Bombyx mori: one gene and its partner. The protein of the gene in region 1 binds, or shares a complex with, the protein of each later gene. Links are inferred from orthologs where the notes say so. Each region holds a gene or a part of one and is shown in the gene's direction. Other genes may lie near its edges. The genes, in order: protein unc-45 homolog B and Hsp90.

What was found.
Region 2: the proteins of protein unc-45 homolog B (region 1) and Hsp90 are in contact, whole or in part, in a crystal structure (PDB 4I2Z), measured with the Caenorhabditis elegans proteins. The link is inferred for Bombyx mori from reciprocal best matches to the Caenorhabditis elegans genes unc-45 and hsp-90. Residues at the interface, in NP_497205.1 of Caenorhabditis elegans: Arg12, Asn16, Val19, Tyr31, Val48, Arg51, Asn52, Met55, Lys59, Val81, Lys82, Phe85, Arg86, Asn113, Asp114, Ile117; in NP_506626.1 of Caenorhabditis elegans: Ser696, Arg697, Met698, Glu699, Glu700, Val701, Asp702.

What each region holds. Positions count from the first base shown.
Region 1 is NC_085122.1:9,733,012-9,749,658, reverse strand, and holds protein unc-45 homolog B, read left to right. Parts: upstream 1-9,536; 5' UTR 9,537-10,019; coding exon 10,020-12,791; 3' UTR 12,792-13,020; downstream 13,021-16,647. Other genes in the region: chaperonin subunit 6a zeta, read right to left, coding at 770-969, 2,650-2,786; MOG interacting and ectopic P-granules protein 1, read left to right, coding at 14,243-14,264, 15,031-16,647.
Region 2 is NC_085133.1:8,891,877-8,908,560, forward strand, and holds Hsp90 (heat shock protein 83), read left to right. Parts: upstream 1-7,387; 5' UTR 7,388-7,479; coding exon 7,480-9,630; 3' UTR 9,631-9,941; downstream 9,942-16,684. UniProt on the Caenorhabditis elegans protein: Molecular chaperone that promotes the maturation, structural maintenance and proper regulation of specific target proteins involved for instance in cell cycle control and signal transduction. Undergoes a functional cycle that is linked to its ATPase activity.

The sequences.
Region 1 (16,647 bases):
ATTAACAATAATGCAGGCGTAGTACACACTTTGAAAACTATTATCAATGACCAAGTAAAGTGCAGGAATGTAGGTTATTATATAATATGTCAGAGATGGTCATTAGTCTGGTAGCAAAACAAAGCACAGCACTATCACGATTCCCTTCAGAACTCGGTTAACTTTGTACTACAACAGAGCCTAGCCAATGGAGCGCGCATAGACGCACTTACAAACCAGGCTTCTTAGGCAGTGCCTCCAACTTAAGAGCTGCCATTCGTTTTTGTTTGCTAACGTCAAGAGACGATTTCTGAATTGTTCTAAGATCACAAACGTGATTTGTGTACTCAATATTTCTCTTAACTCGATCACCCTATTCGCCCCCTTCGTCTGACGATGGTTTTAATAATGCGGTTTCTCCGACATATAGATAAAGAAACTGATAAACAGGCCAATGCTGGTAAGCTGACATTCTACAGCTGTGCTTCATTGGAATGGTCAGTAATCTGCAGGAATTTTTACTGGTGGACCTCTTGTGAGTCCGCCCGGGTAGGTACCACCACCCTGCCTATTTCTGCCGTGAAGCAGTAATCCGTTTCGGTTTGAAGGGCGGGGTAGCCGTTGTAACTATACTGAGACCTTAGAACTGATATCTCAAGGTGGGTGGCGCATTTACGTCGTAGATGTCTATGGGCTCCAGTAACCACTTAACACCAGGTGGGCTGAGTGCTCGTCCGCCCATCTAAGCAATAAAAAAAAAGGAAATATAAAGTTAAATATATATAACAACCTTCACTGATGAATATGTCGGCCTGTTTAAGTAGCTCTCCAATGAGGAGGACAGTAGATGTTGTACCATCTCCAGTGGCATCATCTTGAGCGGTTGACGCTCGAGCAATCAGTGAGGCTGTAGGGTGCTGGATTTGCATCTCATGTAACAAAACATTGCCATCCTTGGTGATCTTTATGTCCCCAGCACCAGAAACCAACCTGGAAGGAATTTAAATAGTCATTGCATTATTAACAAAATGTTACACAATTTTGATTTCTCAAAATGAAAACCATTAATAATATTATAATATTATGTTGTTTAGAAAATAATGTGACAATTATTATGGAGGCAAGCATTTTGAAGTTATTAGAATATTAGAATGTTAAAGAGCTAGAGCTGGAAAGGTGGCAATTTTTTGTTGTTGTAATTGGGTGGAGGTTGCTTAAGCTCATGGTCCACCTGGTGTTAAGTAGTTACTGGAGCCCATAGACATCTACAATGTAAATGCTGTTACCCACCTCGAGATCCAACAGCTGCCCCACTCTTCGAATCGAAACGCATTACTGCTTCCCCGTAGAAATAGGCAAGGTGGTACCTACCCGTACAGACTCACAAGACATCCTACCACTAGTCAAATTATAATTTTCAGGTTTGATTTTTATTACACTGTTTTTCCTTCACCGTGGAAGTCAATTGTGAACAACTGTTAAGTATGTATTTCATTAGAAAAATTTGTATTCGGGATCCAGGGATTCAAACACTGCTGCATCTCTACATAAAAATGCATCAGACATCTTATCCTTTAGACCACAATGAGTATCCATACAAATGGTTTTCTAGTATTCCATTGGAAGCTAACGAATTATAACTTAAAAGTTTAACTTCATTGATACCTAATCTATGAAATGTGTATTTGCAACTAATGGCCTAAATACTAACAAACTTCAGGATACTTTAATAAAAGACAAATAAAATAGGATGTATGTTTTAAAAAAAAACGGCTTAATTCTAACAGTACAGAGACTGAGAATGTTTTAACTACAATAGCAATTGACAATTCCATAGCATATTAAGTTTAATCATAGTTCTGCAGCAGAGCCTATGTCGTTAGGGAACAAACTATGGATAACTGCATAGAGCCAACAAAAAACGCTTTCAGTGCTACTGTATTGAAATAGAAATATTGTTTTCCGAAAGTTTTTAATTTTTTTATTTATTACAAATTGTAACAGTCTAACGTATTGTACAGGAGTATAATAGAAATTCAAGTTCTTTTTTAAATAAAAAAATTGTTTTTTTTTTGCCAATTTAAGCATGTACCAATCTCTTTTAATAACTTTGGATAAACTGTGACAGTAAAGACTTTTTTTTTGTTCAGTTTTGTCATTGAATAACTAAAAAAAAATAGAAGATAAAAAGATCTATGTAGATGATTAAGATTTAAAGTTATTTGAAACACCAAAATTTAATTTTATTTAATCTATATTATACAAAGAATAGTGCACTATCGAAATAATCATTGTTCGTTCACTCGTCACGAGTTAACTCTGGTACAAGTTTGGTTTTATGAAATAAATGATATTGATGGGGAGGGGGTGGTGGTGGATCGCTTTTTATGAATACGTGATATGCTTCTCTGGTACTGTTCGAAATCATAAGATTTGTTTAGACGGCATCGCAATCGCTCAGGCTTAGTGTTTTCTAAAGTAAAGCATGTAGGTGATAACCAATCCTTAGTATGTGTAGCGCCTCAAACATGTGAATTTTGAAAGGTGTATATATCTGTAATTACTTAGTTGTGAAACAATGTTTTAGTTGGATATGATGTCAAAGGCCGGAAATATTATGTTCTACAAATTACATTAATAGTTTTAAACGTAAATAGCTCTATAACTTACATTTTCATCGTGCCTTTCGGACCAAGGTTAGTTTTCATTACATCTTGAATTCCTTTAGCTGCGGATATATTTACAGCAAGTGCCTGTGCAGCACGAGCGAACTCGGCTTTAGGATTTAATAAACTAATGGCAGCCATTTCGTTTAATACGTTTTCAGTTTCAATTAATCACGAGGAAACTCTTTCGTACAAGCCGATATCAAAAATGGATCACAGATTTTACCATAGATTATAAATTTCACAGACTACAATTGACGTTGACTACATAGAGATCCTACGTGCTAGTTTCCATTAAAATTGTCACACCGGTCACTCACATGCGCACGAATACGCAAACCCACAAGTGTAGGACGACATTTGCGAATGATTATGCAAAGTTTTCGCTGCATTCGTGGTTTTCCAAGCTGTGTCGGTTTTTTAACAGACATCAAAGCGCGCGAACCTCGAACCTTCGCGTAGTCTCCCACACATTCGCTTGCCCAGTTGCGCCGACGATTGCGAAGGTAACGGACGTTTTTTTTTTTTTTTTTTTTTTTTTTTTTTTTTTTTTTTTTTTTTTTTTTTTTTTTTTTTTTTTTTTTTATGATTGAAAGTTTACTGGTGGCCCGAAGGCCTTTCCAGTTTCACCAGGACAGGTGGGCGAGCAAAGGCTCAGCCAAGAGGGGTGGGATTTGCTAACAACTGCCCGAGCGCCTCCGAAGGAGACCTAACAACTCAAGAGCAATTGTTTCGCGAATGAATCTACTACCGGATCGGAATCGCGACCCGCTGAGAAGATCCGGCGAGAAACTCAGCGGGCTGATGCATGGGTTAGGTTGCACGTCGACCTCTTTGTCGAGTTCGACGAGTACGGTTACCGGGGTCCCTAAGCCTGCCCCTAGTATTAGAGCTGAAGGCATCTAATGCAAAGGTTATTGGATCTGATGGATCCGTAAGGACGTGTCTAGGGCGTCGACGGTGACTGGCTCCTGCATGATCAGGATTCGGGGAGTAGTCAGCGGCGGCAACGATAAGGCGATTATCATGACGCATAGCCTTATCGAAGTATCGTTCCGACGCTGACTTCATGTATTTCCGAATTGATTCGAGGCCCAGGTCGTCGTGTAGGTCAACGTTCCTCACGAACCACGGAGCCCCGACAGCTAACCTGCAAAAGCGGGATTGTAGGGATTGGAGGGTGTCTATGTGTGTGCGGGCCGCGTGAGCGAACACCACACTCGCGTAAGTCATGACGGGCCTTATGCAAGTTTTGTAAAGTGTCACCTTGTTCCGAAGGGACATTTTACTCCGCTTACAGATCATGGGGTAGAGTCTACCGAGAATAAACGCGGCACGGTCACGGACTGATTTTATATGCGGGCGGAATGTCATCGATGCATCCAGGGTAACGCCCAGGTACTTGACCTTCCTGGCCCAGGGTATGGGTTGTCTAAAGAGAGTAATCGGGGGTGTGAGATTCCTCCTCCTAATCCGGGAGGAAATCCGTGTGGAGCTTCCCCTCTGAAATAGCACCGCAGTACTTTTCGCTGGGTTGATGTCTATGCGCCATTTTCGGAACCACTGTCCTAGGGCTAGGGCTGCGCTCTGAAGCTTCTTCGCGATTAGGGACTTATTTCTACTAGAATAGTAAACAGTCGTGTCGTCGGCGAATAAAGCTAAATGGGTCGGCGGCGACCGGGGAACATCGTTGACGAATAAGCTAAATAGGAGGGGTGAGAGGACAGAGCCTTGCGGGACTCCAGCTGTGAGAGGTCGTGGGGAGGAGCGGGTTCCCTCGACTCGATATCGAAAAGAGCGGTTCGACAAGAAGTCCCGTATGATGAGCACGAGACTATCCGGCACGCCCATGTTGAATAGTTTGAAAATCAAACCATTGTGCCAGACTTTGTCGAACGCTTTTGCGACGTCGAAGAAGAGAGCTCCCGTGTATAACGGTTTTGGTCGATTAAGCCCCACAAGAATGTGCTCCGTGAGGCGGTGCACCTGTTGAACGCATGAGTGATTTGTACGGAATCCGAATTGTTCATCGATAAGAATGCCCTTGGATGAGACGAAGTCTCTGAGGCGTTTGTAGAGCAGACGCTCATACAGTTTGCCTAGAGACATGAGGAGGCTAATCGGGCGGTAGCTCGTCGGATGATTTTTTGGTTTACCGGGTTTATGTATGCCGATAACGTCCGCTTCTTTCCACACCGCGGGAAAGATACAGTTCGCCATAGCGGCATTGAAAATAGATGCCAACATCACGATGAGTTGGACGGGTAGAAGTTTAATAACGCGGTTGGATATACCGTCGGAACCGGGAGCCTTGCGAGGACGTAGGTCTTTGATCAAGTCTTTAACTTCCATCGGGGTGACGGGTGGTAACGCATCAGAGGGTGGCAAGGAGGCTCTGCGTTCTACCTCACTGTCTACTAATTCTACATGAACAGGGTCCACGGATTGAGTGCTGGGCGTGCACTGGGTTTGCAATGTATCGGCCAGCAGCTCTGCTTTTTCGTCATCATCGAACGCCGCGAGTCGGCCTGAGGGGCCTACGAGGGGGGGCATACTTACTACCGTATCCGATTTGAGAGTACGAGCTAAGCGGTAGTAAGACCTTTGGGAGGGCGCGAGTCCTTCTAAGAAATCAGACCATCTGGCATCTCGGACTTCGGCGATGCGAGACTTTACGTCGCGTTGTAGGGCACGCATTCGAATACGATTTTCCGCGGTAGGATACCTGTCGTAGGCGCGTATCGAGGCGTTCTTAGCTCTAAGGAGTTCCCTAATATCGTCGGACAATTTGAAGCGGTTAAGGAAGTCCTCCGCTACAACTTGTTTCGATGACCTATCTAATGTCGAGGTAATGTGTGACGTTAAGATGTCTATGGCTTCAGCGGTATCCTGAGGAGACGGGATAGAGTCCGGGTTAAGCGGGAGCGATGGTGGATCAGATTCAGCCAGGCTGATGCCCAGCGTGTGCCAATCCACCACAGTCCTCGTGACGGGAACGGAATCGGGAGCGCGACCGAGCTTCATAACGACGGGACGGTGGTCTGAATCTAACTCTGAAACTACTTCGATCGAGTGTAAGCGCAGAGTTACGTTTTTTAATAACGCTATGTCGAGTATATCCGGGCGATGCGCGATATTTAGCGGGTAGTGAGTCGGGGTTAGCGGAGCGACGATATCGAAGGCGAGATCATCGACTAACGCGTCAAGCCGCCTGCCATTCGGGGTTGTGGTGTGTGAGTTCCACCTGATGTGTTTACAATTTAGGTCGCCCGCCAGAATGACAGAGCTCCCCATACCGAGCAGCGCCTCGATATCACTGCTTAGAACGATCTTATCCGGTGGAAGATAAACGGACGCGATAACGATCGGCGCGTGTCCCGTCAGTGAGATTCGGCACACTGATGCTTCGATATTAGCGAGCGCGGGAGGATCGAGCGGGACGCAATGCAGGGCTCTTCTATAGTAAATGACGGTACCACCACCACGGGCAGAGAGCCTGTCGTTCCTGACCATGTTATAGTTCGCGATTTTAGGGTCACGGCGCGCGGGCTTAAGTAGGGTCTCCTGCACTAAAAAGATATCAATTTGGTGGTCACGCAAAAAGTCAGAAACCTGATCACGTTGATTTGCGAGACCGTAAGCGTTAAAAAATCCTATCGTTACGGATAGGGGCTTTATTCTACTTATATACGCCATTGATTACCGGCGGAGTGAGGGGAGGACGTACGTATTTAATGACGCGTATACGTCGGCGTATTCCTGCACAACGGCGATAAAGTGTTGTGCAGTGGAGGCAGCGCGAATGGCGTCGCCCAAAGCGTTAACGCGCTCAAAGTTGATCGACTGAAAGAAGTCGATCGCTAAAGCGAGATTGTCGGACGCGGTCGGAGGGCAGGTCGCGGGAGAGGGACGAGTCGCGGGGGCGGGACGAATCGCGGAGGAGGGAGTTGTAGCCGTGTTCGTGTACGGCAGCGGTTTTGCCCAGGCCGAGACACTGGGCACCGCCGCCGGAACGAACGCTGGCTTAGCCTGCGACGCAGAGGGTGCCGAGGCTTTGATGTCTGGGCCGGAAGCTCGGAGGCGGTTTTGGCGGGCGACGCGGCGATTTATTTTAGGGGCTCGGGGGCAACCACGGTAATTCGCGGGGTGACCCTGTGTTCGACACAGGACGCAGCTAGGCGGTTCCGTCGCGGTTTTTTGGTCGCGAGCGCAGAGGGCCGTGGCGTGATCGCCCAAACACTTAACACATCGGGGGCGCGCGTGACAGTTACGGGAAGAGTGCCCGTACAATTGACAGTTATGGCACTGGCTAGGAGTGCCTTTTTTATGGGGGGCTTCGACAGCGATACCAGAGAGCCTACAGACGGTCTGTGTGTTAAAGATTTTCTTACCCTCGGGGGTAGGCTGGAGAGCGACTAGAACCATATTATATGGCTCCCTACCGCGACCGGTGTGCATACGGTGCACAGAATTCACTGGTAGGCCTTGTTCTAACAGGTCGGCTTTTACGAGCTCTACATCTAACTCTTTAGGGATTCCGCGTATTACAACGCGGAGTTCGCGCTCCTCCTGGAGCGTATACGTATGGAAACTTATACGCTCCTTACGGAGGTAAGAAGAGAGGGCCCTATGGTCGTCGGGTGTTTGAACCTTAATTTGAATGCCGTTCGCGAGGTTACGGGCATTCGTGAAATTTATATTTTTGGCCTTAAGGGCCAGGCAAACTCGATCCCAAGCTGCCTTCTCCTGAAGGATAACCGGGGGAGGGGTCTGGGTTTTATTTTGTGCCACCGGACGCGGCGACGGAGTGGCACGGGCTGGGGGCGCAACGGGAGTCTGAGGGCGGGGGCGCGACGCGTTCACGGCTTTGCTAATTTTAGCGGCCGCGGGAGCTCGAGACTCCGCGGCACGCTTCTTACCCTTCTGTACCAGGGTGAATCCATCCGTCGATGAGGCGGGGGCGAGGTCGACCTCCATGTCCGAGTCAGAGTCGGAGCACGAGGAGGCGGGTGCAGGCGACCTACGAGCAAGTGTAGGTGTTTTAGAGGGCGCGACGGAGGCCGCGGATGATCGCTCAGCTGAAACGATGGTCACGGCGGACGACGCAGCAGCTTTTCTCGCCAGTATAGGCGACACGGGAGCGGCAGGCACGACAGAGGCTGCGGTGCTCAATGCAGAAGCTCTGCACGCAGGTACAGGCGACGCAGGAGCAGCGAGCGCGGCGGAGTCCTCGAGAGGGCTCGCAGTGTGATTGGCCTTGAAGGCCAAAAACTCCGAGGCGAGCTGTGGGTGGCGAAGTCGGAGGAATTCCGCGAATACAGCGTCCATGATCGCTGAGTACCCAGGTGGGGCGGCCCCGGGTCTTGAAAACACTCGCCTTGCGGCGAGGCCCCAACTACTCGGACCTGAGCGGTTCTATTGAACACAGGTGGCAAAGCGGCGCGATTACTACAGGACAAAGAAAAAGCACAACAAAACAGAAATTACGAAAAGAAACAAAACAAATAAATACTTGCAGGAAACCACTTTGTCGGCAGATGTACCACGAACACAGAAACAACAAAAGGAAACAAAACAAATAAAAACTTCCAGAAAGAGCACTTAGTCGGCAGATGTACCACAAACACAGGCCGCGCGAACAATGGCCGGGCTAACAAAGACCGGGCGATCGAGTGGACGATGAGCACGTCCGCACGTGACGGGTGCCTCTATCGGAATGGGTAACGGACGTATACTATACGCCATTTTCATAGTTCGTGACGTCTACTGTGTAGCGTATCTTCATCAAAAGAAATCCCATAAAAACAGCATGGCTGTTAATGATGTCTGGGAAGGAATTAAAAACTCTTTTTCTCTTCAATGTTCTATTGACGAATTAAAAAGGAGGAGAAATTCGTGAGACATTCGTAAACAAGTGTGGGAGGAAGCGCAAACGGGTTCGCAAATTGAGTACCGAACCCATTTGCACAGCTGCTAGGTTTGCGAATGAATGTTTGACGGCCCTTCACATGCGCGCAAACATTCGTACAATGTACGAATATTTGCGCGCATGTCAGTGGCCGGCATTAGAGTTTGATTAAGGAAGTAATGGCAGGCAACACTTGACACATGTAAGATTACAGATTTCGAATATTGGAATGCTTTTAAATGTTTAAATCAAACGATTGTCTTCTCGTCAGTGAAGACAACGACTTCTCATCTAGACACGGTCAGAGCAACATCTAAGAGTTTTGTATAGATAAAATATTATAATAGTGTAATAGTGTTCAAAGTATTTGCAATGTAATTATATTAATCATGAAGCAGAGTGTTTTTAAATAGCCCCTCACCTACAGGACACAGTCCCCTCAAATTTTACTGTCTAACCAAAATTTATAAATATCGAGATTATATGATTCTAAAACTCGATGATGACGAAGCTGTTTTTAAAAGTTAGCTTTTTTATTGCTTAGATGGGTGGACGAGCTCACAGCCCACCTGGTGTTAAGTGGTTACTGGAGCCCAAAGACATCTACAACGTAAACGCGTCACCCATCTTGAGATATAAGTTCTAAGTATAGTTACAACGGCTGCCCTACCCTTCAAACCGAAACGCATCACTGCTTCACGGCAGAAATAGGCAGGGTGGTCCTATCTACCCGTGCGGACTCACAAGAGGTCCCGCCACCGGTAAGTGTTGCCGTTTTTCGCAACGTGCTCAGCTTAATCTCATTAATTCAGTTCGATAGCATTCCCCATTTCTTGCCATTCCAACAGCTCTAAATAACGCCGACCGGGTCCTATTAAATCCCCCAAAAAATCTAAAAAAAACACAAGCAGAACCTTCGTAGTATGAATATTCGGCCGACATGATAGCGTAGATTCATGATCGGGCAGTCCTCAAACTTTTTTTTTCCATAGGTTGCTGTATGTATTGAATCTATTTTTCATTATTGGCCTCGATGCGATAAAGAAAACCCATCCTCTTGTACTTAAAAATTACGCCCTACAGCATTTGTTTTCTTCGACTCACAATGAACGCAAATTCCATGTATATGAATCTTTCCCAACGCATGCAATGGTTTGGAATATGGTGATTAGTTAGTAAGGACACAGTTAGGTATAAGATCAGAACCGCACAATCAAGAACGATTCATCGGCTAAAATCGATTAAAAAATCGAAGTTTTTCATCAGTAAAAAATATCTCTAAAAAAAGAATCTCAGATCGACATCCCTAGTTTACACATTGGGACAAAAATAAAATTCTATTTTAGTTCGTCTTGAAATGAAACCACCAGATTTTACCAGAATAATCTTCATTTACATTAAGCAGGCTGTAAAAGAACTGTGAAGAATAAAACGGAAATTGGCTTCGCAGATAAACGGACTACACGATGGTTGTTCAAGAGGAAGCAGAGTCTTACAAAAATAAAGGAAACGATGCTTTTAAATCTGAAAACTATCAGGAGGCAATCACTTTTTACACTAAGGCGATAAATTTGGCCGAAAAAGGCAGCCGAGACCTTGCAACATATTTAAAAAATCGGGCCGCAGCCTACTTAAAGACCAAAGAATTCGAAAAAGTGATCAGTGACTGTGATAAAGCTCTAGAAATAATACCAGAAGATCCGAAAGCCTTGTTCCGGAGATCGCAAGCTTTTGAATGTTTGGAGAGATTTGAAGAAGCCTACAGAGATGCCAAAACAATATTTACTGTGGACCCAACTAACAAAGCTGTCCAACCTATTCTATCACGTCTACACACTGTAGTACAAGAGCGAGCTCGCCAAAATGCTCAAACAAGCAATAAAGTGGAACAAATGTTTAAGTTGGCTTTTGGGTTAGGTGAAGATATTGAAAAACGTGAGAAGGCCATGGCTAACCTATTAGTTTTAGCGAAAGAAAACAGTGGTGCTGAGGTAATGTTAAAAAATGGTGTAGTTCAAAGAATTCAACAACTACTAAAAGTGGAAAAAAATTCTGAAATTTACATCAATGCTATCCGTGTCATAGGTCAAATTTGCAAAAAGAACATTGAAAGAACAAGAGCAGTTTTGAAAGTTGTTGGGATACCGTGGATTTTAGAAATCATTGACAGTACTGATGAGAAGAGAGTGAATGCGGCTCAGTATTGCCTTCAGATCATACTTAACTCATTTTCAGGGATGGACAATAAACAGGAATCAAAACCTGACCCTAAACTTTGTGAGGAAAACAAAAGTGAAATAGATACTCTACTCACCTGTATCACCTATTGCATCACCAATAGGGTTATCAGTGGACAGGCTAGAGATGCTCTCATTGAACTAATCATGAGGAATTGCCACTACAGTGCAATCAATTGGTCAGAAAGATTTGTTGAAATCAAAGGGCTGCACAGATTATTAGAAGTTTGCAGTGAACTGGATGAATATAAATATGAATCTGCCATGAATATCACAGCATCCTCAAGAACCATAGCAGCAGCTTGTTTAGCAAGAATATATGAAAACATGTACTATGACCAGGCGAGAGAGAAATTTAATGAGCAGGTAGATGAATTTGTTAAAGACAAACTGCTCAGTCCTGATCTGGAATCAAAAGTTAGAGTAACTGTAGCCATCACTTCTCTACTTAGAGGCCCATTAGATGTTGGTAACTATGTTATATCTAAAGATGGTATTATAGAAATGATTCTTGTTATGGCTCAAACTGATGACCTACTGCAGCAAAAAGTCGCCTGTGAATGTTTGATAGCAGCTGCATCCAAGAAAGACAAAGCCAGAGCCATACTTACTAAAGGTGTTGATATCTTGAAAAAACTTTACCAGTGCAAAAATGATGCAGTCAGAGTAAGAGCCTTAGTAGGCTTATGTAAAATTGGCAGTTTTGGTGGTGATGATGCTTCCATACGCCCATTCGCGGAAGGTTCCACAAAAAAACTAGCAGAAGCCTGTAGAAAATTTTTGGTAAATCCATCTAAAGATAATGACGTGAGAAAGTGGGCTGCTGAAGGTCTCTCATATCTAACCTTAGATGCAGATGTTAAAGAGAAACTAGTTGAAGATAAGCCAGCTATTCAAGCTCTGATTGAGTTGGCTAAAACTGGTGATCAGTCATGCCTATATGGTGTTGTAACCACTATAGTTAACTTGTGTAATGCATATGAAAAGCAGGAAATGATGCCTGAAATGTTAGAACTAGCCAAGTTTGCTAAGCATCATGTACCCGAACAGCATGAATTGGATGATCCTGATTTTGTAAGCAAGAGAATATCAGTATTGACAAAAGCTGGTGTAACCAGTGGCTTGGTAGCATTGGCTAAAACGGAGAGTCACAACTCAAGAGAACTCATAGCTAGAGTATTCAATGCTATTTGTAATTTGCAAGAATTGAGAGGCCTAGTTGTACAACAAGGTGGAGCAAAAGTTCTAATACCAATGTCTCTTGAGGGTACTCAAAATGGAAAAAAACAAGCTGCTCAGGCTTTAGCCAGAATTGGGATAACAATAAATCCAGAGGTGGCATTCCCTGGTCAAAGAAATTTGGAAGTCATTAGACCTTTACTGGCATTATTACATCCAGATTGTACAGCCTTGGAAAACTTTGAAGCATTAATGGCTTTGTGCAATTTAGCTGGAATGAATGAGACAACCAGAAATAGAATAATCAAAGAGGGAGGTTTATCTAAGATTGAACATTACCTATATGAAGACCATATGATGCTTATTAGAGCAGCCACACAGTGTATTTGTAACTTACTTCAGTCTGAAGAAGTTGTCAAATCATATGAAGGAAAAAATGACAAAACCAAATTCTTATTCCTACTGTGCCAAGAAGAAGATGAGGATACAGTCACCGCTGCAGCAGGTGCTTTGTGTATATTGACTTCAGTTAGTAAAGTTTGCTGTCGAAAATTACTAGATGTCGAGCAATGGCCTGAAACACTAAGGTGTCTTCTAGCAAATCCAAACTCAGAAATACAATACAGAGGAACCTATATGTTGTACAATATAATAAAAGATGACAAAGATTTTGCTGCAAAAGTATTTGAGACTGATATAATGGAAATATTAATGGCACTGTCTAAATTAAATGATGAAGCACACATCAGAGCCAATGAATATGCTCAAAAATGTTTAAATGCAGCTGAGGACTTAGGAGTCATAAGAAAGCCTGAGGCATAATGATTGGTGTTTTTAAGAAATTCCCAAATAAATTTTGAAAGAAATAAATAATATTGTAGGATTGTTTTGTTAAAATATTGAAAGTAATATACATACATTATTTAGTTAAAAAATTGTTTGCATAGAATTTGTAATTTGTATTTATAATTTTTAAATATATTTTTTATTAATGGCATATTTTACCATCACAGGTTAGTTGCCAAACGAGCACCGAAATTTATCCACAATATTAGAGTTCTTTTCGTTTGAAATAAGTCACACTTTGAGATATGAAGTCGAAACCTCATTTATTTCATCTATCCTACTCTTAAAATTAAAAGAGATTCCTTCTATGATCGAACTATATAACTCTTGTGACCAGAACTACACAAACTTACTTGTTAATGTTACCCACTGGATTTCTCGCCGGATCTTCTCAAGTGAGTTGCGGTTCCGATACGGTGGTAGATTAAATAAAGCACTGCTCTGGCTATAGCAGTTGTTGGCAGCTTCTCTCAGGCTGAGCCCCATGAGTTCGCCTAGCAGCCTGAAGAAGAATGAATAGCCCCACGAGCCTACCGACCAAAAAAGTAAAAATAAAATGTTGAGACGCCTAAGTATGCTTGTAAAATTATTTGATAAAATAAAGTTATGAACGAATCATAGTTTAATGACTTTATTTCTTAAATAGCATTTTTCATAGAGTAGATGTGTGAACGACCATGTGGGTTTACGTGGTGTTAAGTCTAAATTACCACTTGGCTACAAGCAAGTTATTATAGCGTAAATACGCGCAATTAGAGCGAAGGCAGCAAATTTTCAATTGAATGCATTGCGTTGCTAAAAATAGTAACATAAATTTTGCAATCGCAATTACTAATGCTTTGGAATAGGAATCGTCGCCGAAATCGTCGTCGTGATTTAGAAACAGCTGGTACAATCGACTGAAGTGTAGACTGAGATTTGTCCGGAAATTTAGCGTTTTAAATATGGCGCGTTTTACTTTTTCTCATATATGTTGCGATTGGGCTCTGACTAGCTGAGCCGCAGCCGAGATGGATCGGGTGTAGGTGGGAAACATCTATGGTATGTACCGAAAATATATCTATGAGTCTATGAGACATACGCTGTGTCGGTCCTAACGATCATTTATTCACCATTGAATTTTACTATATTTCTCTTTCTATTGTTTTCAAACATAAGTTATCAAGTTATATTTTGCTTAATTTTTGGAAATCAAATTCTTTTAAGTCTTTTTTTATGATGTAGGTACATACTACAAGGATATTAACATTAGTAGATTAGTATTATAAATTCGGGTAAAATGTAACGGTAAACTATTTTTTTTCGGAACGCAACACGCCAAACTCCGCCAGAGACCTTTCTTTCAAAATGACAGCTTGATTTGGTTTGGTTTCCGCTACTGTACTGTTGTGCTATTTTTCGATTTTTAATAGGAAAATCCAAAGAAAATGTCGATTTCTACTGCTACAGGTATGCACCTTACTGTACTAAATGAACACATTTCATTTTTTAAATCTATTTCTTAGTCTTTACCGTCGAACCTGGTGGAGTTGTGTTCTTGTAGAAATGCCATGGAATCCCATATGGCGGTCCACACTTCACATGATATAATGACGCTATTCAATAAATCAAACATTTTTTTTGCTTGACCTACTCAATATGCTCTTAGGAGTAGCGGGAAACAATTATTTTTCGCTATTTTTTCACGATGTTTAGGTTACGATGATTGTCCGGTTTTTACTAGATTTCTAGTCTCTTCGAAAAAAAAAATAGACTTTTTATATACCGAAGTTTTTGTTACGTATATTGTTTTGACTTTCATTCCTGTTTGTGTTTAGAAAATTTTAGATAAAATAATCAAAACATTACTTTAAAATTTCTTGTTTTGTTTTTCTAAGTTAAGTGGAAGATAAGGCCTAATTACAGTACAATAAGTAACCACTACTACAAACTTCTCTACATTAATTTATTTGAAATCATGAAGGTGCTAATAATAATTTATTAGTACTAAATTACTTTGATATAAACAAAACTGCTTGCAAAGTATTAAATTAGGTAAAAATTAACAAACAAAATAACACAATTGACACTGTTACTTAAATTAAAATATTAGTAGTCAATGAGTATTACATTAATAAATAATCAATATACACTACAGTAGTATATTCTACAACTTCAGTGCTTTTATTGATGAAAAGAACAGTTTGAAATAACTAGTTGCATTTACAATTTACAGATGAACGCACAGAAGGTGATGATGACACCTCACAAGGAAGCCACCCAAAAGAAGACAGTAGTGACTCTGAAAATGAGACTGAGCCTCAAAATCAAAATGGAGGCTCTCCCGCACCAGAAGTTCATGAAATTACTAGTGATGATGATGAGGAAGAGGGGGGTGTAACAAATGAAGATGATTCCTCCAACTCAAGTACAGTAAGTAATGATAGTTCAGAAGGATCCCAACACAGTAGTAAGGAAACAGAGAAGAAAGACATTGAACATTTAGAAGAGAATGGTGCTGATGAGTCTGATATTGAAGAAATTGCTATGGAGGATCCATTAAACCAAACACAAAGCATTAACAAACCTATTGTGATAAATGATACAAAGTGTTTGGTCAACTTAGCTTCTAAACAGACTAAACCAAATGGGGATCAGAATAAAGAGCCTACAGTTGTTATTATTGATACAAATTCAATACTTGCTGGCAAAGGGCCTCTCCCGTTGCAAAGCAAAATGCATACAACTACTACTACTAGTATGATGGATCAACAGGACTTGTGCCAAAGCATTGCTGCTCGGGGCACTACTATCACACCAGTTAGTAATAAGACTGCAAATCAGAACAGTGCTCATAATAGTACTCCTGCAGCTCCACCTCCCAACATACTGCCATCTCTCACAGATGATATGTTTGTTGTTGAAGCACCATCCTTCATTGTTCCATATGTTTATGAGAAACCTTCTCTAAAGCCTTTTAGAGAATTTGTGGACAAGCTTGGTAAAGAGCTTGAAGAACTCAAAATTAAAGAAGAACAGGAAAAAGCAGAGAAGGAAAAGATTGAGAGGGAAAGGAGAGATAAAGAGAGGAAGGAAAGAATTGAAAGAGGAGAAATAGAGGAAGATGATGAGGTTAAGGAGTCCAGAAAACTAGAAGTTGCACAAAAGAAAGAGAAAAAACAAGGATGGAAACGCACTGATGATGATGATGATGATTCTTGGGACGGTGAATCATCCTCTGAGTCAGAGGAAGAAGCTCTCAGTGATGATGATGCTGTAGTAATTAAAGAAAAAGAGGACAGTGACACCACCGACCCAATCAGCCTTATTGCCAAAAGCCTTTCAAGTGGAAAGCCAGACAGTTACTTTGATTGTTCATTAGGACAATTTTTTATTAACATTGGACTGAATTTAGTGCAAGAGTATGTTCAAACTGATTTATTAAAGCAACAACAGCGCAAGCTCTATAAAGAGAAGAAATCAGGACGCAGTACCAAGTCAACGGAGGCTGCAATTGCATCTTTGTCTCAGAACTTAGATTTCAGCAAGAAAACAAATGCACCATTTGCTCTTTCACACAGAAGGTGTGATTTTTGTAGTTTTAAAACTGAATCTATGTTAGTTATGGCTCATCACCTTGAAGCACCTCACATGAGAAGTAACATATACAAGTGTAATTCATGTGAGTTTGAAATACGAAGTCCTCATGATATATTGTTCCATATGGAGGCAGAACACAATATTAGGGGCAGATTGGAACGGGCTCCTGCATACCAGCAATGTGCTAACTGTCATTTTGAAGACAACAGTAAAACAAAACTGGCTCGACATTTGATTGCTTGTGCTAAAAAAT
Region 2 (16,684 bases), on another chromosome or scaffold:
ACTGAATAATCTTTCCACCTCAGTCTTTGAAGAAGGAACTGCTAGCAAAAGTGAAATGACAATTACAAGGTTTTCGTAAATGAAATTACCATGATAATCTTTCATGGTACATGAAGTACCTGTATGTTACAATACAAGTAAGTTCTGGTGACATCAACGAAAATAGGTAAATAAAAGTTTGGCGGATTATACAGGGTGGCCCATAAGTCCTTTGAAAAGTAAAATTTGAATAAAACGAACAGGGCGCGCGTGAGCGGTGCAGGGGAAGCGGGGGGAGTAACTTCGGTTTCTGGGAATTTAGTCGCGATGGAGCGTTTTACCGGAGCGGACCGTGCGTTTTGTGTGCGCGAGTTTTATAAAAAAGACAATTCGGCAACCGTTGCGCGGCGTAAATTTCGAGAACACAAAGGTTTACACAACTTTGACGACACTCCAACTCTTCAAACGATTAAGAACTGGGTTGCTAAGTTCGAGGAGACCGGTTCGACGTTAGATAAACCGCGGTTGGGTCGCCCAAGGACGTCACGTACGGAACAAAACATAGACACAGTGACACAGTCTATTCGCGAAAATCCGACACAGTCAACTCGTAAGCGCGCCAGAGCATTAAACGTATCCAGGACATCGTTACAACGGATTTTGAAGAAAGATTTACATATGCACCCTTACAAAATTCAGTTGGTTCAAGAATTAAAGGAAACTGACGGTATTCAAAGACAAAATTATGCGAATGAAATGTTGAATCGGTTTACTTCCTTCAATAACATAATGTTCTCTGACGAGGCTCATTTCCATCTTAACGGGCATGTTAGTAAACAAAATTGCCGCTATTGGAGCCCCATCAATCCAAAACTTAAGCATCAGAAGCCCTTACATAGTCCGAAAGTGACTGTTTGGGCCGCTATGTCAGCCCATGGTATCCTAGGGCCTTACTTCTTTGAGGATGGCAGAGGGCGCGCAGTTACTGTTACGTCGGAGCGATATGTTGCTATGATCGAAGAGTTTTTCATACCAGAATTGCAAAACTTTTCAGGCTTTAATGCCAGGACGTGGTTTCAACAGGATGGGGCCACTTCTCACACCTCTAACACTGCTATGCCCGTTATCCGTCAACTTTTTCCTGGCAAAGTTATCTCTAAGAGAGGAGACATTTCCTGGCCTCCACGTAGTCCAGATCTGACCCCGATGGATTTTTTTTTGTGGGGCTACCTTAAGGCTAAAGTATACGACACAAACCCGCGGTCAATTGAGGCCCTAAAAGAAAACATCCGCAGAGAAATGACAAGCATTTCAGCAGTGACGTGCCGCGCAGTCATCGACAATTTTAGACGTCGTTTGCAAGAGTGCCGTGATCGCAACGGATTACATTTAGGAGATGTTATTTTCAAAAAATAATTCCCGTTTTTTAAGCTTTTTATGTAAATAAAAATTTAATTCATAATGTAATTAGTTTTATTTTAATAAATTTTTTTTCATATCAAAGGACTTATGGGCCACCCTGTACTTATTGGGATTCTGGGGAATCCCTAAGAAAAAAGCAGTGGCTTAATCTATGATTTACTTTACTAGAGGGTTACTGTTGAATCAAACCTTCTTAATAGTTTTTATACACAACTCTGTTTTATTCTTTTACTTGTCAACTCGACTTAATGTCATTCTCTCTCCATAAAATAAAATGTTCATTGTTTTACTTTAAAAACCGTTTATTTTAAAATTCACAACAGTTACTAGTATAGGCTTTGCTTTTTACCCCGAAATATCCTAAATCCTGGTATTTTTTAAATTGTCTTTATCATCCAAAATATCAGCTATTTTTCCCTAAAAAAGGGAGAATTCCCTAAAAGTGGAAGCACTGCTTCAAAGTACGCTAACCTTTTTTATTGAGTCAGAACTCGTATCTGCCATCTAGTGAGTTTATTAGTTCATTAAGGCCAAAACGTTTCAAAAATGACCTCGCCGGTTCCTAAAGATGACGCTAGTTGAATGTTCTTTTCCTTTGTATGGGAGTTGCACCCCCCTGTGTGTGATTGCAGCGCCCTCGCTTCGCTTATATATTTTTAAAGTTCAAAACCTCGAATTGTCGAGAAACTTTAGGAACCTTCGCGAAAGTTTGCTACCGCGCCATCTGTTGACGAATAGAAAACTCACAGTTATTTGTTTCAAAATAAATTGTTAACAATAAAATGTGGAAAATAATTTCGTCATGTCAATACTAGATGGTACTAATTAACATTATTTGTCTAGATTTTTAGCCGACTTTTGATATTGAACGATCCGATGCGATGCCATGACCGAACGTTCTAGTAAAGTCTACTGAACACTTGAACATTATTTTTAAATTATGGCCTTGATACCGACGCTTTATAATTTTTTTGGGCATGAGCTTAAAAATATGAAAATATTAAACAATCTACTTACTAAAGAACTTCAAAGTATGAACGCAACGTTTACAAAATTAACGTTTTCTTTATATGTATTATTTTATTTATTATTCTATTGAAAAAGAAAAGTATAAACAGAAACTAAAATGCAGAATGACATTAATTATCAATGATAGGCTATAATTGTGAACCCCTACATAATACGTTTTCTTTAAACAAGTCTTAGTCTTATGAGTATTCTAAAGTAAGCAGCGGCGTAGTTGTGATAGTGATAGGGTAGAGTCTAATCATTACTCTAATAATCTAAATTAAAAATAGCCGCGGATTTCAATTTTAGTTGAAAAAAAATTACATATGCTTAGTTTTGATAGTGTCTATTAGGAGTGGGTAATATCGGTTTTGCCGCGTATCGAATCGTATCTATATATCGAGGATCAATATCGGATATTGAATCTATATATTTTCTGAATCTATATATTGATGGATGCTAGTAGATTTTCTCGATTCATGATATTTGAGATTTGAAACGATACGCTGATATAATATCGTAGTAGATATAGATTTAAGTCAACGTTATACGGTTGGTTTTCTGATATCAATTTATAATATGATCTTAAAGTAATAAAAAGAACATGAAAATAAAAATATCAAAAAAACTTTCCTTCATGCTTTTACCAGGCTTAGGACTGGCTACATTATTTTCAGTTTTTAGTATTTTGTGTCTTAATTTAAAATTACAAAATATACCAAAAGAGTGTAGATTTCAAAAGTTTAATACAAACACAAGAAATAAACTCAATTATTTGGATTCAACTAAAAATAGAAAAATGTGTACTTTAAAAATCAAACACAAAAAACTTTTAAGTATTTATAAACACTTGTCCAAAAATTCTAGTTCAAGGTCAAAGCGCGTGAAATTAAATTCAACGATGCAAATAGGCTATACTGCATTCAAGTTAGGGTCGAAAGTTGAAACTTCTTTCCTTAACTGTATCCTGCTGATACGCTAAGAATAATCTACAGACATATGGACTTAAATATAAGGTTTACAATTGTATGGATAATGCCTGTTTCTGTTTCATTCATCACATGATATCCCTATCGTGCGCTCACTCACTCTGGCCGATTCGATACGAACCAAATGAATATTGCTGATATTAACGAATCGGTACGATATGCCGATGCGCATCATATCGAGCAATATCGTGTATCGGCTGATATCGAAATATAGATTTCGATTCACGAATCGGTACGATATGGCGATGCGCATCACATCGAGCAATATCGTGTATCGGCTGATATCGATATATAGATTTCGTGCGGGGCGATATCGGATTCAACGATACTGCTGCGATATATAGATATTGAATCTATATACGATTTATATCACCCACTCCTAACTGTCTATGGGTTAGTGACGCTCATTGTAGGTACCAACCACCACCTCGGGATGCCAGTACAGGGCGCAGGCAATTTCTTAATAAAACACATATTTTGGGGTCTAAGTTTATTTTTGCTTGTCTTGAAAATTTTTCACTGCTCATTTATGTACAACTCAGAACCAATATGGTGGTAAACGTTTTCCAAAGCCCATTAACAAATTATGTTTGTTTCCGATGCCCAAAACAAAAATCCTAGGCTGGGGCTATTAAATGTGGACGTCTGTTTAGCATTTAGACTAAAAACGTTTTATGTATTAGGCACATAATATAAAATGTTCAAAATAAGTACTGGTAAGATACGAAGACAAACGCAATAACACCGGTTTGAATATTGCCCAAAACAAATTTCAGGCGCAATAAATTTTGCAAACTCATTTATAACCTATTGTGGATTCTTTTATATTTTTCAACTTCTTAATTCCACCCTATTCTACAAAAGTCATAAACTTTATAAATTTATGGTTTCTTTAAATTAAAATCATTTAAATGTTTCCTGCGGTAATTACAAACTTAATTTTAATCAAATTTTTATTAATTAAATCATAGTTTTACAATTCGGTCCATTATGTCGATATTACGAGTCAAATTAAAGAAATAGGTACCTATGTAATTATATTCTTACCTATCTAGAACATGAAATTACGGATAGCTGTCTACGATACAGTGGCATTTGCATAAAATAGCTGTTGTTGTCAGGCATTTCAAATAGTGAAATAAACATATTCGAGCAGATTCTAATGCTATCTATTCGTTCAGTTTACGCAAAATTTGAAATAGTCATTAGTCTGAACTCAAGTTACCTTTTTTTAGTAAAAATGTTATCTAATTTTCCGTAACCGGAGAGTTTTTGTATGAAAAGGTCATTAAACTTAGATACATGATAAATTCTTTTAATTCCTCATTGTTGAAACACGTGTTTTTCTTAGGTTAAAACGCCGGCTTCAACAAAATTGGATTAGAAATAAGTATTGCCATAATTTTTTAAACGTCATATAAGCATAGGTAGATATTATTATAATTATAAAGTTGTCCTAAACAAGAAAAATCTGCATTTGAAGTGGCAAAGAATGTTACATTTGTTTAGGTATCTAAAGGTACCTACCTACCTACTATTAGTAGCATAGAGCGTAAACTTCTACGGCTCTCTCTACCTACCATAATCAGCCTCTAAAAATTAGTTCTAATTAAACAACTTGAAAAAAGATATAATTTACATTTAGGTTTTTCAATATTTTTATGTCCACAAGTTGAAAAGTTGAAATATAGGTTATGTTTTTATTTCCGTAATTCAGTCTGATTCAATTAATTATTCTAGGAAATAATCGGCATTTCCATGGCTCAGTTCGCTTTAAATATCGATAGTCTTTAAAAAAAAATTATGATGTGAAATCTGATAAGGTTTGCGCACTATGCGCTCATGCAATTTCAACTTTAATCAATAGCCCTAAAGCAGTGCTGCCAACAAATAAAAAAATATTTATTGTAAGTGAAATAACTAAATTTGTCAGAATTCATCGCTTCTTTGCAATTTTTTATTATGGTTTGTGTTTAATTATATTTTAAACGTGTTGATGAAATAGTAAGATGATTAGCATTAAATTTACACCACTTTCGTGAAGGTTTTCTGGCTAATCGTTTCAGTTTGTGTGGCATAAAACTATGGGCTATAACTATTGCTGGTGGGCGGAGACTTTAACAGCTTCATAAGGACGGGTGGATTAACTCAAAAACACAGCTTGGAGGGAAAGAGTTTGCTAATAGCCGCCAGAGTGCCTCCAAAAGGGGTTTAATAGTACTAGGACAGTTACTTTACGAGTGCATCTACTCCGTGTCGAGAAGCTTAGAGCTCAGTATCACATTCAAATCGTCGACGAGTTAGCTGAACCATGCTTTTATTGCTCTTGGCGTTAAAATTAGTAGTGATAATGAGAACGTATCAGGTGGATCTTGCATTATTTGAAAGATGAGACTAAAGATCTGTAGGTTTTGCGAGATAATGTCGCGAGGCAAAGATAGTTTCCTCTACCTGTAGATAACGAGAACACAAATTTGATACAGGGTGTATAGGAGGAGAAGACGAGGAACAATTATTTTAATGATTTCTGACATCTAAATGAACAATAAGACTTTACTTTTGATGAACAAAACAAGTAACTCATCTTAAACTGAACATTACTACGTTCTGGTTTGCTATTGTAATTTTAATCAATGTTTTCTCCAATCTACATTATGATACAATAATAGCTCATTATTCGCGTTTCCTTCACTCGCGTTTTCACTATTCGCAGATTAAAATGTGACCCGATTCCTATTTTCGCAATTAAAGATCTCTTTATTCGCGGATCTAATCGATACAATATAGACATTGATAAAAAGAAATCCAATATTCAGTATTCAACTGAATATCCTTTATAATCGCGCTATAATCACGGTTTCTCTATTAGCGACATATTTACGTAACGTATACACCCCGATAAAGAGATTTACTGTCCAAAAAAAAACGTCAAAAAATGGAACGAATTATGTGCTTTTTATTTATTGGTATTACTAATTTCGTTAAGAATTTCATCGGAAGCAGCCAGCGCCGAATGCGGTGAATAGTAAAACTATAAGAAGGAAGCGGTTGGAATGATCTGGGTAAAATGTTATTTCTTACGAATTACGATGATTCTTTGATTAAATTTGGAAAAGTTTTGTGGTCAAATTATTTAACATTCATCTTGTATCATTTATTGACTCTAATTTCAACTAAGTTATTTCTGTAATGTTAAAATTTCGATGCTTTTCTAGAATATTCAGGAATGTTCCAGATATTCTTGTGTGTAGATCGTATTGCCACCTTGTGCCAAATAGCGGCACTAAAATAATTCGGCAGAGCTATACAACATTTGGTAATTTTATTTATTTTGCTATTTTCCCCAGTTTTTTAAATTACTGTGTTTTTAACTAACAATTACATTTAATTGGATGCAATTTACACTGCCTTAATAAATTTTTTTTAGTTGTAATTTGGTTTCTTACATTTATGCTGTATATTTTTAGTGATCTGCAAAATGCGAAACACTGAACAGCTTAGGAAAATTTAAAATGTGAGATGTTTCTTTTACTTAAAAAGGTTTTTTCTCTGTTATGTTTTAATTATTTATTTAACTAGTCTGGCATATTTTAGTGAATCTATTGATGAAAATGTACGAAATATGTAATTACCTTTATAATTTCTTGAATTATTTTAAGGAAATATATTTTTCCTAACACTTTAAATTTCAAAGCGGGTGATACAATAATAACTAATACAAAAAGAAACTTGCAGTGTTAAGTAAATGATTTTTCTCTTCGTTTTATGGCCTCCCAAAATGAAATAATTGCCAATTAATTTGAAATGATTAATTATTTTTATTTAATATTGTTTCGGTTTGTATTGATGGTAAAATGTTGATGCTCTCTGACGGAAATAGCGTCAGAATCGAGAAACTTCTACTGATTCATAGATGTCGCTTGTTAGAGGAAAGTATAAAAACGAATTTACACACCGCGCCCGGCGTTATTTGAACTGAGAGAAGTACAGAGACTAACGTGCGATACTTTGCGCTTTGAAACACGTGTGTTAAAAACCCTCTAGTCATTTTGTGTGAATTAAACAAAAAGCAGTAAAGAAAATGCCGGAAGAAATGGAGACACAGCCAGCGGAGGTTGAAACCTTCGCGTTCCAGGCTGAGATCGCTCAGCTTATGTCCCTGATCATCAACACCTTTTACTCCAACAAAGAAATTTTCCTTCGTGAGCTGATTTCCAATTCATCGGACGCTTTAGACAAAATCAGGTATGAATCTCTCACGGATCCGTCAAAACTCGATAGTGGCAAAGAGCTGTACATCAAGATCATTCCCAACAAGAACGAGGGCACTCTTACGATCATCGATACCGGTATTGGTATGACCAAGGCCGATTTGGTGAACAATTTGGGAACCATCGCGAAATCTGGTACTAAAGCTTTCATGGAGGCTCTTCAAGCAGGTGCCGACATCAGCATGATTGGACAGTTCGGTGTTGGCTTCTACTCCAGTTACTTGGTCGCTGACCGCGTGACTGTTCACTCTAAACACAATGACGACGAGCAATACGTGTGGGAATCTTCTGCAGGAGGCTCGTTCACAGTCCGCCCAGACAGCGGTGAGCCCCTTGGTCGAGGTACAAAGATCGTCCTTCACGTCAAAGAGGACTTGGCAGAATTCATGGAAGAACACAAAATCAAAGAGATCGTAAAGAAACATTCCCAGTTCATCGGCTACCCAATCAAGCTGATGGTTGAAAAAGAACGCGAAAAAGAACTGTCTGATGATGAAGCCGAAGAAGAAAAGAAGGAAGAGGAAGATGAGAAGCCTAAGATTGAAGATGTAGGTGAGGATGAAGACGAGGACAAAAAAGATACGAAGAAGAAGAAGAAAACAATTAAAGAAAAATACACAGAGGATGAAGAACTCAACAAGACAAAGCCTATCTGGACCAGAAACGCTGATGACATTACCCAAGATGAGTATGGAGACTTCTACAAATCCCTTACCAATGATTGGGAGGACCATCTTGCAGTCAAACACTTCTCCGTTGAAGGTCAGTTAGAGTTCCGTGCACTACTTTTTGTGCCACGTCGTGCACCTTTTGACTTGTTTGAAAACAAGAAGCGCAAGAACAATATCAAGCTGTATGTACGAAGAGTTTTCATCATGGACAACTGTGAGGATCTCATCCCAGAGTACCTTAACTTCATTAGAGGTGTTGTCGACAGTGAGGACCTTCCTCTAAACATTTCACGTGAGATGCTTCAACAGAATAAAATTCTGAAAGTAATTAGGAAGAATTTAGTTAAAAAATGCCTAGAACTATTTGAAGAATTGGCAGAGGACAAAGAAAACTACAAGAAGTATTATGAACAATTCAGCAAGAACTTAAAATTGGGTATCCATGAAGACTCTCAAAACAGGGCTAAGCTCTCTGAGCTTCTGCGGTACCACACTTCGGCATCGGGTGATGAAGCCTGCTCTCTGAAAGAGTATGTATCCAGGATGAAGGAGAATCAGAAACATATCTACTACATCACTGGAGAAAACAGAGACCAGGTGGCGAACTCCTCATTTGTGGAGAGAGTGAAGAAACGTGGCTATGAAGTAGTCTACATGACTGAGCCCATTGATGAATATGTAGTACAACAGATGAGGGAGTATGATGGCAAGACCCTTGTATCGGTCACAAAGGAAGGATTAGAACTTCCTGAAGATGAGGAAGAAAAGAAGAAACGTGAGGAAGATAAGGTGAAGTTCGAAGGGCTGTGCAAGGTGATGAAGAACATCCTGGACAACAAAGTTGAGAAAGTTGTTGTCTCTAACAGACTTGTGGAGTCTCCTTGCTGTATTGTTACTGCTCAATATGGATGGTCTGCCAACATGGAACGTATCATGAAGGCTCAGGCTCTACGTGACACATCCACAATGGGATACATGGCTGCGAAGAAGCATTTGGAAATCAATCCTGATCACTCGATTGTGGAAACATTAAGGCAGAAAGCGGAAGCCGACAAGAATGACAAAGCTGTTAAGGATCTTGTTATCTTATTGTATGAAACTGCCCTGCTGTCTTCTGGCTTCACGCTTGATGAGCCCCAAGTCCATGCTTCCCGTATCTATAGAATGATCAAACTGGGTCTTGGTATTGATGAAGATGAGCCGATTCAGGTTGAAGAGCCTGCTTCTGGAGATGTGCCGCCATTGGAGGGTGATGCCGATGATGCATCTCGCATGGAGGAGGTTGATTAAGATCTCTACTTTAACTGTAGGAACCATGTCATAATGGTTTGTTTTTGTGCATCGGTGTACAGCCAAAGACTGATTTAGTTCAAAAATTCCATTATTTTAATAAATAATCAAAATGATTTTCTGTTGATTTTTTTTTAAAGTAACTTCATAATTGTGCCAGAATACTTACAATATTGTATCTTTATAAATGTTTTGTTACTGTTCGTAATGTAGGCAACCTTTGAAAATGTTCTTAGTGCAGTATTACACATTAGTAAATAGCTAAAGGTGAACTCTGAATGTATCAATAAAACTCCACTTATATGTGAAAAGCAGTTTAATTTTTAAGAACCCTTGCAGTTACAAATGCCATACTACATTTATTTTTCCGGAAGTTTCAAAAATTAATGTGACGCATGCCAAACAAATGGCTTGCTACACACGTAGTTTGAATAAATCTCTATTTAATTAAAATAGAATGCAACTGCATAAGTACTATGTAGGTACCTTGTAATCTATATACCTATATAAGTGTCTTGTTAGTTTCACTATTTATAACACAAGAACGGCTGAACTGATTTGGCTGAAAATTGGTGGGGAGGTAGCTTAGAACCAGGAGAAGGACATAGGATACTATATCCGTCTTGCCTTCGCCATTACCATAAACAAATCACAAGGTCAATTCTTAAAAGTTTGTAGTCTGAATCTAGAAAATGCATGTTTTTCCTATGGTCAATTATATGTGGCATGTTAACGGGTTGGAAGACCGTCTGCGTTATTTATTCTTGCACCTGATAATAAAACGAAAAGTTCGTCTTATCACAAGGTGCTTCACTAAAAAGTGGACGACCCCATGCACTAAAATACATGGCCAATAAAGAACCATTAAAATACTTGCTTTTTTAATTTACATTAATTATCCGAATAAAAATTGACCTTGATAAAATCAAGTCTGCTCATAGGTACATTGTCTCTAAGGCGGAACAAAGTTCGCTGGGTCAGCTAGTTATTGTTAAAAAACTCTTAAAATGACATACGTTACATCCACAATCTGCCCTATCCGATCTGATTCTAAATATCTAAGTAGGTATAGGTACCTAATCATTGATTAGGAATGAAAATTGACATACCTACATTTAATACGATATGCCATGTGATGTCATATGGCTCATGTGATGGTAATTGTTGACGGAGCCGACCAACATACTCCTTTACGGAAGGTAATATGCATTGATATTTCGTCGTGACAATGCCCTTCTGCTTACTAAGATTACTAGGTAGCCTAAGGGGTTATTCCAACTTCGCGCGAATGAGTACCTACGTGATCTTACGGGCTCAACCTAAGTATTTGCTAACACTAGTCCTAGCAAGAGCAGTGCTCCCCAGAATCCAACATCGCGAGGAATCGCGACCCATGAAGATCCGGCGCGACACTCGTGGGCTGTCTTTTTTTTTTTCCTACCTAGCTGAGAGCCTTGAGAGGCTATTTCAGCGTAACCTTAACTAGTAGGTGAGACGACGTTGCTAACACGAACCCTAGCAAGAGCCGTGCTTCGCAGAATCTACTACCGGATCGGAAACGCGACCCACTGAGAAGATCCGGCGAGAAACTCAGTGGGCTGTGTCTGAGGGTTAATTTACTCGTCGAGCCCTTCGTCGCAAGCGACGGGTTCGACGAGAACGATGACCGGTGCTTGAGGTACCTAAAAGCACCGTTAGTGGATCGGGAAGATCCGAAATGATGTGTTTGGGGCGACGTCGACTGCTTTCCATTCTATCCGCAGGATCGGGAATGTAATTACCGGCGGCAACAATGAGAGGGTGTGTCGTGCCGCTTTATTGAAATGGTCTGTGTCTATGGGAGCAATAATAGCTCAGCGGGTAGCACGGATATCCGAAAATTAACATTATTGTTTATTGTAGCGGTAGGCAGCGGCTTGGCTCTGCCCCTGGCATTGCTGAAGTCCATGAGCGACGGTAACCACTCACCATCAGGTGGGCCGTATGCTCGTCTGCCTACAAGGGCAATAAAAAAAATAAAAAAAATGTCATTATTATTAGGGAGTCCAACACTCATATTTTAGCCTATCCACTAAGTAGGTACATGTATTTTCTACATGGACACCAAGTTTCAAGTCAATCGGATGCATGGTTCAGTAGTTATAACGGAACATCCGTAAAAACCACTGTAGATTTATATATTAGTATAGATTAACAACATAACTAGATACTACATATTATATGCAATTCACGGGTCTTATACGTACATACAATTTCTCATGAGACGTTATTATAATTTATTACAGTTTGAGGTTGAAATTGCTAAGAATATTATAAAATGTTAGCTATATTTTTTTGTCTTGTGAAAGATTATTCACTTTTAGATTTGATTCTTTCCAATGCAGAGATTACCAAGTTTGGTGTTAGACGTAAGTACTGTTTACTCTTATGAGGTCTAATGTATTAGTATCCACTGAGTTTCTCGTCGATCTAGTACTAGATGCATTCGCGAAGCAGCTGCCCTTGAACTTTTAGGTCTCCTTCGGAGGCGTGGGCTGTGCACATGCTCGCCTACCTGTCCTGATGAAACAGGAAAGGGCTGCAGGTCAAAAGTAATATTTCCTTCCTAAAAAATACTAGTCTTATTTCTGGTTCTCAGTACCTAACGTGTATTTAATTCATACGTACTTGCGATGAATGTCTATTCGATTATTTATTAAGCATAAGCAAACAGCCCTCCCGATAAATCTTCGCTCATGGACGTCAACGGCAGAGAGAAAGCTAAGCCTTGTAGCTCTCAAGATCTTAGCTCTCAAGCAACACTCAGGACAGGAATTCAATCTAAAGCCACGTGTCTCAAACGAGCTCTTGAAATGTACTGCTTCTAAGTAGTAGGGGTAAATTGTGTTTGTGCGATTAGTGGAATTTATGGTAAAAAAAAAAATATTAAATATACACCAAACAATTAATTAATCTAGGTGATTACATTATTCGACGTGCTTGCGCCTGACGTTAATTTTTACTTAAAGTATCTTAAAAATGTTGTTTTAAAATTTATGTAAGGCGTATAACTCGAATATTTAAATTTTAGAACGAATATTATTGTAATTCAAAGATATTCGAGAATTCCTCTGTAATGCAAAAACAAGCTATGCAATTTAAATCATAGTCTGTTTCAACCTATACAAAATCTGCAATTTCTAGTTAGCATCTATGTACGTTGGTCAAGGTGGATCACGTACCTACCTAATTTGATTATTGTAATGTACGCCCTTAAAATTTTGAGATATGTCGGGAACCTGACTTACCACGATAGTAACTATAATTTAAAGACTTAAGAGGACTGCAAAACAATTATTCTGACCTTCCGTCCGAAAGCGTGAGCCCTCGCTTCAAGTGAAAGTTTGGGTATTCAAAAAAAAAAAGATGGTTAAAATACTCCTTAGCCAATACATATAAGACTTGATATATCCAGATCGCACGACCTATCACTCGTTCACACAACAAGAGCTTTACAAAATGCATTCGTTCTTGTCATTTCATTGAACATATTTTCAATATACTGTTTCGTTTCTGGTTACCCAGACCTTCTAGAGTCTAGACAATCTTACATTCGTTTAAACGCGTAGGTAAACTATACCATAAAATAATATTTTCTAGGTTCACATTAAGTAGTAGCAGTTTTGTGGATTGTACAACTGTGTACCTTTTTTTTTTTTTTTTTTTTTTTTTTTTCCACAGGAGAAAATCGCCGGATCCCCACCCGCGCGGCAGGTGGGGTATGTGGGAGTTGAACCTCACTAAAAACTCCTGCCGCTCACAACCGGCGCCCTACCTCGGACCGGGCCAGAGCCCAGTCGGGGCTATTGAAACGGCGGGACAGGGTTGACGCAGAGCACATTACATCCATCCCACCGTCCCACGGACGCCGGACCGGTGGCCGCCAGCGAAACGACCACCGGTTCCCTCGTTCAGCGGAACTGTGTACCTAGGTAATTTTGAATATTTTATATTTTTTTAATACACTGCCATCTATCGACATAACTGTGAGATACTCCACGTAATCTACTCCACGCTAGATGGCATACTCAAGCAATTTTAAACGACTCCAGAAACATTACTATACGTCCGATAACTAGATGACTATTCTAGAAAAATCTTCGGTCAATAAGGTTATTGGTACAATATAGGAAAAATGCTTTCTGCATGTATAATTGTATATCTGACGAGATTAATTTTTTATTTAAAATCAACTTTTTTCTAAATCTCCTGACCTAGTTTTTTTGAATTACATGGAACATTGCCATGGAACTTTAAAGTAATAATACAATAGGGCTCTCGAAAGTCCGATTTTAAATTAGATTGTACGTATATTTACAATAACAACGCTTATTATGTTTTTCTTTTTTTTTAAACCAAATAAAAATGACGTTATTTCATTCCGTACAAGTACTCCTTCTCTTATTCCGTTCTTAAATATTATATTAACGCGAGCTAATATCTCAAGTTATCCTATGTCAATATTATGTAATTTTTATTACGTAGGTAGATGGGTGAACGCGCGTCTTCTTCTTCTTCTCAGTCGTGTCACTCTTGACAGAGTGGTCGTGATCGTCATCTAGTGTTGGAAGGGGCGTACAGCCCACCTAATTTTAAGTGGTCGTATCCGAGGTGGTTATCAGGGCCCACGAACATCACAAAAATAATGCCACCATCCTTGGGATATGAAGTCGAATTTTCAATTGTATAAAGTCTGCTCCACATTTCAAACAGAAATGCATGATTCCTTCGCAGAAATATAGGTAGGAATGGTAGGAGGTAATATCTACCCGTAAGTGGGTATCAAAATACGTCCTACTACCAGGTAAAAGGCAGTCACGTTTAAATATAAGGATACATCATGAGCATTTTAACCCTTTGAGCATGTCTAGTACGTACGTCATCTGATTGAATTCCGCTATATTATATCCTAAACGCAATCATTTCTTTCTTTAGACAAGATCGCTTGAAAGATTGATAGGCTTTTTTTTATTTTTTTTTAGTGCTTATATGTGTGGACGAGCTCACAGCCCACTTGGTGTTAAGTGGTTACTAGAGCCCATAGCCCATACGTAAATGCCGTCACTCACCTGAGATATAAGTTCTAATGTCTCAGTATAGTTACAACGGTTACCCCACCCTTCAAACCGAAACGCATTACTGCTTTACGGCAGAAATAGGCAGGGCGGTGGTACCTACCCGTGCGGACTCACAAGGGGTCCTACCAGCAGTAATTACTCAAATTGTAATTTTGCGGGTTTGATTTTTATTACACGGTGTTATTCCTTCACCGTGGAAGTCAATCGTGAAGATATCTTAAGTAGGTACGTATTAAATTTCATTAGAAAAATTCGATTCGAACACCGTTGCATCGCTACATACCAATGCACCCGACCTCTTGGCTTTTAGGCCACGACGACTACATATGTTTGAATTCATTTTAATTGTGTATATGACCTAGAATCATGTTTAAAATACCTACATACATTTTTTTCCTGCGTGTGAGTAATTTGAGAAAATATTGTCATTCGAAATTAGATATTTCATGAAAAGTTTTAAAAAGTACATGCATAATTGTCATTGATTCACCAATAAATACATTCACTAAGATCAACCAGTTTATTCTGTAATAATTTTACGCAAACTAGAGTTATTATAGTGCTACTTTACGTCGATGACCTTCTAGAAATTTATAGCCTACGATTTTAAACTTCGAAATTAGCAAAAGCGTATGTAAGCTGTACCATTTCACTCACAAAAATAAATGATATAATAAGCACCACACACGTCGTATTGTAATAATGGTAATAAGTACAGCTGTTGTTGTATTGATTCCGAAAAGATGACATTATTTTGGGAACATTGAAATCACGGTGGAATTTTCTAGTGTCTTGTTCCATTCTTCAATCCGTTAGCTCAAGTCAGCTGTTGATGTAAACAATGATGTTTCCGTCTCTTTCTTCACCGCTTCGGGTAGCTTCGATGCCATTTTATTGGCTGTTGTAAAGTTCCATCTCGTTCTAGCTCGTTCCATTAGTGTTACCAGGGAAAAAAGTTTTTTCCGTAGAATGGTAGACGGTCACTTGGTGTTAAGTGGCTTTTTTATTTTTTTTATTGCTTAGATGGGTGGACGAGCTCACAGCCCACCTGGAGTTAGGTGGTTACTGGAGCCCATAGACATCTAAGACGTAAATGCGTCACCCATCCTGAAATTTAAGTTCTAAGGTCTCAAGTATAGTTACAACCGCCGCCCCATCTTTCAAACCGAAACGCATTACTGCTTCACGACAGAAATGGGCAGGGTGGTGGTACCTACCCATGCGGACTCACAAGAGCTCCTACCATCAGTAATTACGCAAATTATAATCTTGCGGGTTTGATTTTTATTACACGATGTTATTCCTTCACCGTGGAAGTCAATCGTGAACATTTGTTGAATAGGTACTTATTTCATTAGAAAAATTAGTACCCACCTGGGATTCGACAACAACAAATGTTCACGATTGACTTCCACGGTGAAGGAATAACATCGTGTAATAAAAACCAAACCCGCAAATTTATAATTTGCGTTATGACTGGTGGTAGGACCTCTTGTGAGTCCGCACGGGTAGGTACCACCACCCCGCCTATTTCCGCCGTGAAGCAGTAATGCGTTTCGGTTCGAAGGGTGGGGTAGCCGTTGTAACTATACTGAGACCTTAGAACTTATATCTCGAGGTGGGTGGCGCATTTACGTTGTAGATGTCTATGGGCTCCAGTAACCACTTAACACCAGGTGGGCTGTGAGCTCGCCCATTTATATAAGCAATAAAAAAAATTAAAAAAAATTCGAACACCGGTGCATCGCTTAACATGAATGCGCCGGACGTCTTATCTTTTAGGCCACGACGACTCAAAACACAGCACAAGCAGAGTTATGAATGTAAAAAAAATCACTCTACTAAATAAATTTAAATCGTTCAATAAAAGTTTCGTATTGCACTAGATATATATTTTTACTTAATTGGACACTAAGGTTCGTAATAAATGTCATCAC